3 linked regions of the Nothobranchius furzeri genome follow. The protein of the gene in region 2 interacts with the protein of the main gene of each other region in a pairwise test. Links are inferred from orthologs where the notes say so. Each region holds a gene or a part of one and is shown on either strand. Other genes may lie near its edges.

Region 1 (3,648 bases), on a different chromosome or scaffold from region 2:
GATGTTCTGATAGGAATCTTTTCTTGATTGATTTTTTTTTTTTGCCTCCGTGATGTTGTCTGTGCAACGTTTAAAATGTCTGAACACATGTATCCGTTGGGTTAATGCCAGTCTGTCAGAAAGACCAACAGCCTTGAGATTTCTCCGTTGAAATAAATGGCCAAAAACAGAAAATATCTGGATAACGCGATCCCAGCCCACATTTAACTTTATGCCTTTTTATGCATGGCAGCCCTTCACACAACACGACTACCATTTTCTGCAGTTTAATAAGCTCACAACACACAAAGCGACCAGTGCTTCCTTTGCTTATGCACCTAGGTATCCCATCATGCAACGTGCTTCAGCACCTGATACGTCACCTGACGAGGACTGATGACTACATTGTGATTTCTTAGTAAATATTCTATTTAGTAAGGGATAAACTTTATTGTCTTTATCTGAGTGAATCTATAATTGAGTCAGCAGGTAAACTAGTAGTAGCACATTCCATGTCAAAGAAATTAAAAAGTTTTCAGGAGAGGGAAATATGTTAAAGTGGTTAGCAACAGTGTTAAAGCCGATGGCCCCCTCCATGAGGCCACCACGGCAAAGCAGAACACCATTGTAGCTTCTTCTGGGGAGAAAAACACTTAGGGAAAAAATAAAGTTGATAGCTGAAATAGCATGAAATAATGTAATTAGTCTTTTATCGTCTCTGTTTTATCATTTTAGTAATTTTTGCATGCATGTTTTATTGTTCTCTGCTCTTTTATTATTTTTATGTCATGTTCAGAACCTTGGGCTTCCATAAAGGCAGTGGAAGGTGCTGTACAAATAAAATTTTGTTGAATGATTGATATATTGAGCCACTGGGTATCTGGCCACGCACGCAGCTACATCTTCCACCCATTATATAACACCACAGGGATCCAGGAGTCTGTTGCCATTCGTTAAAATGAGTTTACTAATATAATTTTCAAGCTTTGTCAGCGATAACCCTGAAAAAGACTGAATTGAAACAAAATGTTAAAGGGTCTATTCCATCAATTTTTGCAGAATTAACTTTAAAAGTGATATAAACGATTTATGGACAAACCAGTGTTATTGTAATGAAGAAAACTGCAAAAATGTTGGTAATTGTGCAATTGACACAATGCCTAATTCTTTGTGCAAGCTAGCAATCGTTATATTGCCACCATTTTTCAAGAAAAAATGAGATTTTGGATTCTCAAAGAATGATATTTAAGCCATGTATATTAACTTTTGTTAATAACCTGTAGAGTGCACACAAATGTCAAAATGTTTTTATAATTTATTATTGTTTATTGTTCTCTTTACACTAAGACTTTGCAATCTATGCAACGTTAAAGTTTTTAGATGAAGAACAAGAGTAGACATGACCAAAATTGGATCCTCTTGGCTTTGGGAATTTTTTGATAGCTTTGCCAGTTAAGTGGCGATGGTGTACCCATTAATACAACTTTTTTCCTTATTTTGTCGACAAATGGAGATCTCTGAAGAAAAAAAAACTTTTTTTTCTGCATGTTTATTTAATAATGCAGGTTGAAATGACATTATTAGCTGAAAGAACAAAGGTGCGAGAGCATGCAGGCAGGGAGGACCCAGGTTAGAAATGGCGGACTCAGGGGCGGGGCCGGGTAGGAGACGCACGCTGGATGCTTTGGAGCCCATTCATAACTGCTTTGAGGTCTTGTTAGGGTTCCAAGCCTGAAGGGCAGGGAACCCAATTGTTTTAGTAAGCTTCTCTAGAAGCTCTGGCACCACTGGTGATGAACAAGACAGATAATTAGACGCATGTAATGAGTCCTCTCAAGTCCTTTGGAAATAGGTTTGGAATTTTCATGATGTGTGTGATGTTTTCGTCAAGAGTGACTTCTGACTAAAGTGAGATATTGTTTGCCCTGGGTGAAGAATGGGCCGTCATCATACGTGGGTCAGTGCTGCGTATCCACCCCTCCTCCTAAGAAAGGCTGCTGCTTGATGTTGTGTTGGCAGTAAAACATATTTTAGAGGTAGATTTCTGTATCAAACCTGTATGTGCTTCATTTTGTGCTCAGGCAGGGACCATGCTAAGTTCTCTCCAGTGGCAACAGCAAGTTACCGCCTCCTGCCAGAGATCACATTATTGGAAGTGGTGGAGGGAGAAAAGGCGGAGCTCCTGAAACACTGCTTCTCACGAGGTGTTATAGACCTGGAAGATGTTCGCGGTAAGAATTACCCAATAGAGCTAGAGTCAAGTGTTTTTAAAGAATTGGCTTTGTCATGCCGCATGAATTCCCCACACCAGTGTTTACCTGTAAATACTACATCACTATCCTTTGTTTCCTCAGGTAAAAAAGTGGCCAAAGTGGTGAACAGTCGACTAGATACATGCAGCCGAGAAGTTCTCCGACATGTGGATCTAAAGAATTTGGTGAAGCTGGGAAGGGTTCGAGATCATTTCATATGTGAGTTAGGATAAACTCCTAGAAATTACATCTAAGCACAGACATACAGGTGCTGGCCAGTAAATTAGAATATCATCAAAAGGTTGAAAATATTTCAGTAATTCCATTCAAAACGTGAAACTTGTACATTATATTCATGCAATGCACACAGACCAATGTATTTCCAATGTTCATTACATTTAAATTTGATATTCATAAGTGACAACTAATGAAAACTCCAAATTTGGTATCTCAAAAAATTAGAATATTCTGAAAAGGCTGAATATAGAAGACACCTGCTGCCACTCTAATCAGCTGATTTACTCAAAACACCTGCAAAGGCCTTTAAAAGGTCCCTCAGTCTTGTTTTGAAGGCACCACAATCATGGGGAAGACTTCTGACTTAACAGCTGTCCAAAAGACAATCATTGACACCTTGCACAAGAAGGGCAAGACACAAAAGGTGATTGCTAAAGAAGCTGGCTGTTCGCAGAGCTCTGTGTCCAAGCACATTAACAGACAGGCGAAGGGACGGAAAAAATGTGGTAGAAAAAAGTGTACAAGCTCTAGGGATAACCGCACCCTGCAGAGAATTGTGACGACAAACCCATTCAAAAATGTGGGGGAGATCCACAAAGAGTGGACTGCAGCTGGAGTCAGCGCTTCAAGAACCACCACGAGGAGACTCATGAAAGACATGGGATTCAGGTGTCGCATTCCGTGTGTCAAGCCACTCTTGAACATGAAACAGCGCAAGAAGCGTCTCGTCTGGGCCAAGGACAAAAAGGACTGGACTGATGCTGAGTGGTCCAAAGTTATGTTTTCTGATGAAAGCAAGTTCTGCATTTCCTTTGGAAATCAAGGACCCAGAGTCTGGAGGAAGAGCGGAGAAGCACAGAATCCACGTTGCATGAGGTCCAGTGTAAAGTTTCCACCGTCAGTGATGGTGTGGGGTGCCATGTCATCTGCCGGTGTTGGCCCACTCTGTTTCCTGAGGTCCAGGGTCAATGCAGCCGTCTACCAGGAAGTTTTAGAGCACTTCATGCTTCCTGCTGCTGACCAACTTTATGGGGATGCAGACTTCACCTTTCAACAGGACTTGGCACCTGCACACAGTGCCAAAACCACCAGCACCTGGTTCAAGGACCATGGTATCCCTGTCCTTGATTGGCCAGCAAACTCGCCTGACCTTAACCCCATAGAAAATCTATGGGGTATT
Region 2 (4,312 bases):
ACACACACTCACTTTCACTCACTCACACACACACACACACACACACACACACCACCATCTCCACAAATTAGTCAGGGAACAAATTACCTGCATTCTGAGTGTGATCCCACGCACTTTGCAGGCTGCCTTACACAGGTCCCCTTTTGAAGAGCAGCCATGTGATTTCTCTCTCTTTTGCCCCGCAGGCCCCTTTGCCTTCTGCAAGGGATTCTGGAGTTGAATTTTAAAAACTATGTATGGCTGCTGCCTGCGCTTATCAGCGCGTGCACAAGTGGCATGCAAATCAAACGAGGATCACACACCCGCATTGGAGGCCTACACTCAAAGGCAAGCTTAATTGCTAATTGGGTATCTAGGTGTGAAACCCACATTGCCAATGAGAGGGAGGAACGTGGATGTTTTAAGGCCAGTGGTTGAACTAATTAATTTTAATCTGACTATTATTAAAAACTGCAAATTCTCTGCATTTTCTGTGGGGGAAACAGCCCAAGAGAGTGCTGTGGAAGGAGTTTTAACTGCAGTTGGACATGTCGTGGTTGGGATTTTATACCGCGTGATATCATCAGTGTAGATGTGTGATAGCGATGTGGTGATTAGAAACAGGGGCTGAAGAGCTAAACTGTGGCCAATAGCGCCAACAAGTGGGAGCCAGAGGGAGGCATTAACACACCTTCAGAGTTACTGCCCCATCCCTGTTCAGAATGTTCATTTACATCTATTGATTTATGCTTATGTTGCTTATTTACTGCAACCAATTTCTATGTATTAGAAGAACTATTTCTTTGTTTATAATGCTTTTTGACCATTATTCTTCAATCATTGTAAAGCCCGACCTTTACTCCTGGGTTTAATTAATAAGATTTGTGCAGCCATGAAATTAGCAAAACAACCAAAGGAGTGGGTAGAGCCTCCAAAAGTGTGTCTTAAAACTCCTCTGCAATAAATTCACTCTCATTTTAAAATGTTTGATGCACTGGAATATTGCATTCGGTAATAATGAACAAAACACCAAAATATAGTTTATGTTTAAATCTTATTCACTGTGAGGGTCATTGCAGCACGTGGAAAACCAAATTGAAGCTATTCCTAGTCACATTTAGCTGTGGAATGGCATCCCCTTCCTTAACCTGGAGCTTGTGTTTCTGGTAACAGCTTGCTGCTCAAATACCATCAAAAGACTCCTGCAGAGGATTCTGTCACTTTTTTTCTCTTTGCACAAACATGTCTTGCAGTGATGCTCTTTCCACAGATGCATGATCCTAACACAATTTCTAGTGATAATAAAGTAAAATAAATAAATAAATAAACCCACTATTCCTTATTTTTGTGCTGTTTATATGACAATATTGTAATTAAACAATCAAAAACATGTATGGGTGTTCATGTGCCACCCCCATTGCCGCCCCCATAACTACCAATTTGAAATTTGTCAATGCTTGCCAATGATTGTAGCTCTTAAGTGTCACTTTAAAAAAAATCAACATTGTTGTTATTGTGGGGCAGAAGGTTTCCTCTGATCTGTTTTTCAGAGCTGATTTGGACTGATTGAGAGAATAGGTGCTGTTTGATTGCCATGTTGTAGATATTTGTTTGATCCAGAGGGTGTGTGTTGGCCACAGCGTTTGGGTTGGTCACTGTTGAGCTTGTTTGGTGCTTTGAAAGAGGTTTTGACCCGCTAAACCAAACAGCTGCTGAACAAGGGGCATCAGATGTGATGAGGGGAGGAAGAGGAGGTGACCGCTGTTGCGCCTCCTAAAGAGGGCAAAGGCCAGCTGCGGTTGCGTCCAGATGTGCGCGGCAGCAGCAGCAGCATCACAACGTTTATCTAGTCGGGCTGGGTTTGTTTTACTCTGAAAATGCGACACACATACGTGCCAGTGAAACAGCGACAGCCCAAAAGAGCCTCGGGCGCCACAATGCTAACGTTGTCTGGGGCTTTGACTTCTCCCAGCCAGTGTGAAGAAGCTGCTCCGCGCGACAGTCACGGCGCTCCTCCGCCGCTCTTCCTCTCGCTCTCTCCCGCTATTCACGCTTTTTTCCTCCGTCCTACATTCTTTTTTTCCCTCTGTTAGAATAAACGGTCCCAACTCTCTCTCTCTCTCTCTCTCTCTCTCTCTCTCTCTCTCTCTCTCTCTCTCTCTCTCTCTCTCTCTCTCTCTCTCTCTCTCTCTCTCTGCGTCGATCGCCCTCTGAACCTTTAACGCGTGAGCATGATGGACGAAACGGATATCATGGATCTTACGCATCAGAAAGCGAAGAAGCGACCGCGTCCAATCAGTTCGGTGGATGAGTCCGTGCATGCGTCGCTCAAGCGGCTCCCGATGCGAGCGGCGGAGTGCAGGGAGCCCTCACTGATGTTCGCTGTCAGAGGAGAGCCGGTCCCCGCTGCGTCTCTGAAGCAGAATGATCACTCGGTGGCTTCCTCTCCAACCACAGTTATGCCAGCACAGGTAATACTAATAATGGAAATACTAAAAAACGATGTTTTCTTATACAAGTTAGAATTATTATTTTTTTATTTTAATTGCCTTCTTTCCATCATTTGTGCGCATATTTTTTTGCATAATATTGCCTTACTGACTTTTCTGCTCTTTCCTGATTTAATTTTTCGTTTTTCCGTTTTAGATGCACTGTTTTTTTTCCCCCTTTCACTCAAAAGTTTGAAACTTTTTTGGGGGGAGAAACAGCTATTCAGTCGCAGCTTATAAGAAAATTGTGTTTGTAGGTTAATATGAGACTGATTTTCCCACCAAATCCTATTATGGTATTCAAATCAAGAGTCATTATTGCTCACTTCCAAGAGAGATTGATGCTCCAAATTAATTTGGTTTTGGAGATTATGGCCCACAGGAGGTAGATGCTTGTAGACTGTGGCAACATTCAGGTCAAGGTCAGGCTGCTTCTATCCTGTTGGAAGAAAATCCTCCAACCCTGGCTGTGGAGTGGGAAGAAACAGATTTTTGCATCTGCAGTGTTTTAATTCTGTCGTCATTTTGAATTTATCTTTTCTTTTTTTTATGCTTTTCTAGGATAATCGCTCCAGCATGTCCAGACCCATGATTACGCGGTCACCAGTGTCTCCTTTGAGTAACCAGGGCATCCCCACACCTGCACAGCTCACCAAGTCCAATGCCCCTGTGCACATTGATGTGGGCGGACACATGTACACCAGCAGTTTGGCCACCCTGACCAAATTCCCAGAGTCTCGGTGGGTCTTACTTGCTCGATTTTCTGAAAAAACTCTCTGCAGTTTTAGGCTAAATGTGTTTAGCAGTGTCACGATTTCCTCAGAGTTTAATGTCAGCGTGTTTGATGTCATTATGCGACAGTCAAATGTCACAACCCTTCAAATCTCACAAACACACTTGGAACAGATAGAGATTTAGTGTCAGGTACTTATTTTTTTAAGCACTCAGGTGCATCAAAGCACTTCTTCTGGTGAAGTCGGCAGTTATTTTAAGGGGTAAACAATCCTGTGAGAACACAAAGTGCAGAATGCAGAGCCCAGACAAAAGCAACTTGCTTATTCTGACAGATGTCACGGCAGCAGCAAAGAGCCAAAGGGCATGGAGCCATCTGGAGGCCGGGAGGCCACGCTGTCGCTCCGAGAGCAGGCCTCAGGGTGACAGGCACCCGGCCTCGGGCAACCCAGCACCAGCTGGACCTGACCTCTCCACTCCACCTCTGATTTTAATCCTTTCTTTTCTTTCTTTTTCATGCACATATATTACTCAGCCTTTCTCTCTTTTTGTCTAAGCCTCCTTGTAGAGTCCATCACTACAGTTTGTGCTTTAATAAATCAAAATCTTAATCTCAACATGTTGTTCTCCCACCTCTCTCCCTCTCCTCCTCCGTCCTCCCCCTCCCGCTGTAGAATTGGTCGTCTCTTTGATGGCACGGAGCCTATAGTCCTGGACAGCCTGAAGCAGCACTACTTCATTGACAGGGATGGACACATGTTCCGCTACATTCTCAACTTCCTCAGGACGTCCAAGCTCCTGATTCCAGACGACTTCAAAGTGAGTGGGTGACCATCCTAGAAACTGTAAAGTGCCATCAGCTAGTCAGCAGTCCTGCAACTTAGCTCACACAATAGATGCTAAGGCTATAGATCGCCTTTGGTCATCGGTCTTCGTTGAGATGGTGAAAACCATTCTGGAGATAAAATATCAAGAATCTAACAAAAGAAATGTTGAATTTTGGTGACACCAGTGAGCATTTTTGCAGGTAATCACGTGCATTGACTGTATGGCAGACTGTGTATTCAATTTAATATGTTCTCCAGTGTCCATTGATGGTGTTTCTCACAGGG
Region 3 (4,144 bases), on a different chromosome or scaffold from region 2:
TTTAAATGTCCTTATGCGTGTGAGGGTTGTTTCTGGGCGCTCTTGGTTCCCAAAGAAATTTATATTGCCAAACTTTATTCACAGGAGCAAAATTTTAAAAGTTTCCCTTATTTCTTTGATTCCACCCATCCATTTTCATCTGCTTATCGAGGGTCGGGTCGTGGGGGCAGCAGCCTAAGCAGGGAGGCCCAGACTTCCCTCTCCCCAGCCGCTTGGGTCAGCTCCTCCGGGGGAATACAAAGGTGTTCCCTGGTCAGCTGAGAGACACAGTCCCTCCAGTGGGTCTTCCTTTAGGTCTTCTTCTGGTTGGACGTGCCCAGAAAACCTCACCAGGGGGGCGTCCTAACTAGATGCCCGAGCCACCTCAACTGGCTCCTCTTGATGTGGAGGAGCAGCGTGTCTACTCCAAACCCCTCCTGGATGACCAAGCCTATCTTTAAGGGAGAGCCCAGCCACCCTGCAGAGAAAAATTTCGGCTGCTTGCATCCGCAATCTCATTCTTTCAGTCTCTACCCAAAGGTCGTGACCATAGGTGTGAGTTGGAACGTAGATCAACCAGGAAATCAACAGATCGGTACAACACCCACGTTACTGCAGACGCAGCACCAATCCGCCTGTCGATCTTGTGCCCCATCTTCTCCTCACGTGTGAACAAGACCCCGAGATACATTAACTCCTCCACTTGGGGCAGAACCTCATCCCTGACCTGGACAAGTTCTTCTACCATTTTCCGACTCAAGACCATGGTGTCGGATTTAGAGGAGCTGATTCTCATCCCGACTCCTTCACACTGTGCTGTGAACCGCTCCAGTGAGAGCTGGAGATTACGTTCTGATGAAGCCAACAACAGGACAACGTCATCTGCAAAAGCAAAGACTTTCTTAGCTTTTAAAAATAATTTCATATTTATGTTAAATCGTTAACAGTTATGAAAGAACAAAAGCTCAGAAACTATATTCCTTTTCAATAAATATTATCTTGTCAGCAAGATAAATAACTGATAAACCTTTAGTTTTTTTACCCTTTATGTGATTCTCTTGATGTTTGTGGTCTTTATTTGATACTTCAGCCATGTTTGTTTGTTCACACACTTAAATGAATGTTCTTTATATGTGCTTCATCTTTAATAAAGTAAAAACAAGTTTTCCCTTACAAACCAAAAACATAAAGGTTGGCGACACCCCGCGGAGAGTGTGAGTACAAATCGGAGCGCTTCGTTTTCTCGCACATGAGCACTGGAGCCTTCCTTCGCCCTTTTCCGGTCTCCACAGCCGGACCAATCAGAATCGACTCCAGACGACGTCCCAACCAATGAGCTCGCAAGCTACTCTTGTCGAAAACATGTCGCCCATGAAGTTGTGTGTTCCAGGTGAGTCCGCTGATTTAATGTTCCATACAAGGCACTGCGTAGATTTAGAACCGTGTTTTGGTCACGTACCAATTCCAGCTCGTGTAGACGTCGATGTGTCACTAAAGTATGCATTTAAACTTCAGTCAGAGGGCTTTAAAGTTGCCCCAACTGCTACACGCGTGGAATTAGCACATATTTATCATTCGTTCACACACCCAAAAGAAATCCGCTAACCAGCTTTAGTACTAAATTGTGTTTATGCTACATCAAAACAAAACGATCACTCACTAGACTATGCAGGATTAGCAGTTTGCCATGTTGATAAAACGAAATGAAAGGCAACTAAATCACAAACTCACATTAAAAATGAGAGGGTTTGACTAAAGTCACAAACAGTGGTTGTGCTCTTCAGGTGTGTTCATGTCTGTGATGTTAACACTGTTCGTTTGTTATTTTACTGTAGCGTTTTCTGACCCTTGTTGTCTGTTTGCACTCAGGTGACAAGCTTTGCAGTGAGGGAGACTGTAATCCAGGCGCAGGAGTATATCTGCGGCATGGCTACATTTACTCCTCACTCGCAGGCTTTGTGCTCAAGACAACCGAAGGCGAGAAGGTGAGGATCATAATGTAATACATATACTTAAAGAGCAAGTCACCCCAAATCAACTTTATTTTGTCTGATAAACTATATAAACGTGTATCTAATCGTGCTGCAGACCCGTGTTGTCAATAGTTTTGCACTTAAGTGCATTTTAGTTAAAATTTTAATTTTCTGCCTAAAACTGTCAGTGTTGTGCCATGGTCAGGTAAAAACTCTGCGCTGCATTTGAGTTTAAATCTGCCATCGGTATTGGCTAAAGCCTGATTCATGCTTCTCCGTCTGCGTCAGTGTGGAGACACGCAACGTCCTTGCGGGCCTGCCGGAGAGCTCCGCAAGGACGGACGGAGTCGAGCTCTCTTTTCTAAACATCCGTCAGTCGAGACGGACAACGCAAGCTTGTGATTGGTCAGGACGCCGCTGTTGTCTACAGCGCCGCCATTGCGCCCGCAAAAACATAAAGAGAGCCGAGGATAACAAGCGGCAGACACGGAGAAGCTTGAAGAATACCTCGCGAAAAACCTCTAAAATATGAACGTTTAATTCCCCGTGACTGGAGGAGTGAAAAGATGCGCAGCAAGCATTTTATTTGTGGACAGAAATGACAGGAAACCTGGGTTTAAGGTGGCGAGCGCATGAAGAAGACAATGAAAAAACATAATATAAACGCACTATCTTGGACCGATAAATGACAGGATACCACAGAACAGCGCTACGCCCTCTGTTGTCCTGCCGGGGAATTGCTTTGCAACACTCCAGGGGACGGAGAAGTATGAGAGCAAAACGCTTCCATCAATCCATGCGTGTCTGTCCCTTGCGGAGCTGACGGAGAAGCATGACCCAGGCTTAAGAGGTACCCTAGAACGTTAGTTGGTACCATATGATGTCACAATGCTGTGTGTGTGTGTGTTAGTGGCTCCGCCCTCTCGGTCTGCCAGGCAACAGCATTTGTTGCATTTTTCACACATGAAGTGGGAGTGGAGTACAACTCTGGTAGGGGGTGACTTGCTCTTTAAGTTTCAATGTTTAAAACTGATTCCAGGGAGCAAAATTGTGTCACATTTGATAAAATAAACAAAATAAATGCAGTTAGCCTCATTTCATCTGTAACTCGACTACTCTGCCTAAATTAGGTGAAATAAGAAAATCCAGCTAATGAATTACGACTTGGACAGAATGTGACTGAATTCATAATTTTAGGCAGTTTTTCTTGCACTCTGAAGCTTTTCTGTGTTTTTAAGCTTAATTCTTTAATGTTGAGATGAGCAGTGAAGCTCACACCCGTGATGATACAACTCTTTCTACATATTTTCTTAAACACTGCTTGGTCTCTATCCATTTGTACTAATTTATATAAATGAAATTCTTAATGTGATGGACAATGTTTAATTCCATTTAGGTGATTGTGGTATTTGGACTAGAGTTAATAGCTGTTGTATACAGTAGCTTTGTAGTGGACCAAAAATGATATAGTGCCTTCTAGGGTTCTACAACCCCTCCAAGGCATCACCCATGCACACACGCATTCACTTGCTGGTGGTAATGAGCTACAGTGTAGCTACAGCTTCCCAATGGTGCGCTGAAAAAGGTGAGGCCTTCCATACACTGGCACCACCATTCCCTCTGACCACCACCACCAGCAGGCAAGGTGGGTTAAGTGTCTTGCCCAAGGACACACCAGCAGAATTCTGTGCAGGGATCGATCCTACAACCCTTCGATCACTGGACTACCCGCTTTACTTCCTGAGCTACTGCTGAAGATTTAAATGTACTTATTACTGACTTTTGTACTCATGAATGCATTTGTGTGTTTTTAGTTACCAGTGATCTCAGTGGTGAGAGAAACAGAAGCTCAACTACTTCCAGATGTAGGAGCCATTGTCACCTGTAAGGTATGTTATGGAAACAGTTTTCTAAAATGAGATTAAAGACGTCTCTGATTAAAGGGGCATTATGGAAGTGTGACAGCCAAAACATGTATAGAAATAATAAATGTCTTCTTCATACATTCTCCTGCAATGCCCTGGTCCTGTAGAATGAGCCCTGGCATTTTTACTGTGATTGCCTGTTTTTCTGTAAAATCACAGAAAAAGAGAGATGCTCGGGTCGAGCAGGCTGCTTCATGCGCGTTCACGCTCAGGCATCGCCCGTAGCATTTGCTATCCGTAGCTTTAGCAGCAGAGAGAGAGGTAGTG

Evidence for each region.
Region 1: the proteins of kctd1 (region 2) and polr1c interact in binary tests that used the Homo sapiens proteins (3 or more experiments, as listed by UniProt). The two-hybrid records come from large-scale screens. The link is inferred for Nothobranchius furzeri from reciprocal best matches to the Homo sapiens genes KCTD1 and POLR1C.
Region 3: the proteins of kctd1 (region 2) and exosc1 interact in binary tests that used the Homo sapiens proteins (3 or more experiments, as listed by UniProt). The two-hybrid records come from large-scale screens. The link is inferred for Nothobranchius furzeri from reciprocal best matches to the Homo sapiens genes KCTD1 and EXOSC1.

The regions. Positions count from the first base shown.
Region 1 is NC_091752.1:59,366,562-59,370,209, forward strand, and holds part of polr1c (DNA-directed RNA polymerases I and III subunit RPAC1), read left to right. Parts: intron 1-2,060; coding exon 2,061-2,210; coding exon of another isoform or gene 2,211-2,213; intron 2,214-2,333; coding exon 2,334-2,450; intron 2,451-3,648. UniProt on the Homo sapiens protein: DNA-dependent RNA polymerase catalyzes the transcription of DNA into RNA using the four ribonucleoside triphosphates as substrates.
Region 2 is NC_091751.1:52,385,155-52,389,466, forward strand, and holds the start of kctd1 (BTB/POZ domain-containing protein KCTD1), read left to right. Parts: upstream 1-1,454; 5' UTR 1,455-2,210; coding exon 2,211-2,450; intron 2,451-3,029; coding exon 3,030-3,208; intron 3,209-3,874; coding exon 3,875-4,019; intron 4,020-4,312. UniProt on the Homo sapiens protein: May repress the transcriptional activity of AP-2 family members, including TFAP2A, TFAP2B and TFAP2C to various extent.
Region 3 is NC_091746.1:82,295,775-82,299,918, reverse strand, and holds the start of exosc1 (exosome complex component CSL4), read left to right. Parts: upstream 1-1,264; 5' UTR 1,265-1,311; coding exon 1,312-1,369; intron 1,370-1,848; coding exon 1,849-1,964; intron 1,965-3,766; coding exon 3,767-3,841; intron 3,842-4,144. UniProt on the Homo sapiens protein: Non-catalytic component of the RNA exosome complex which has 3'->5' exoribonuclease activity and participates in a multitude of cellular RNA processing and degradation events.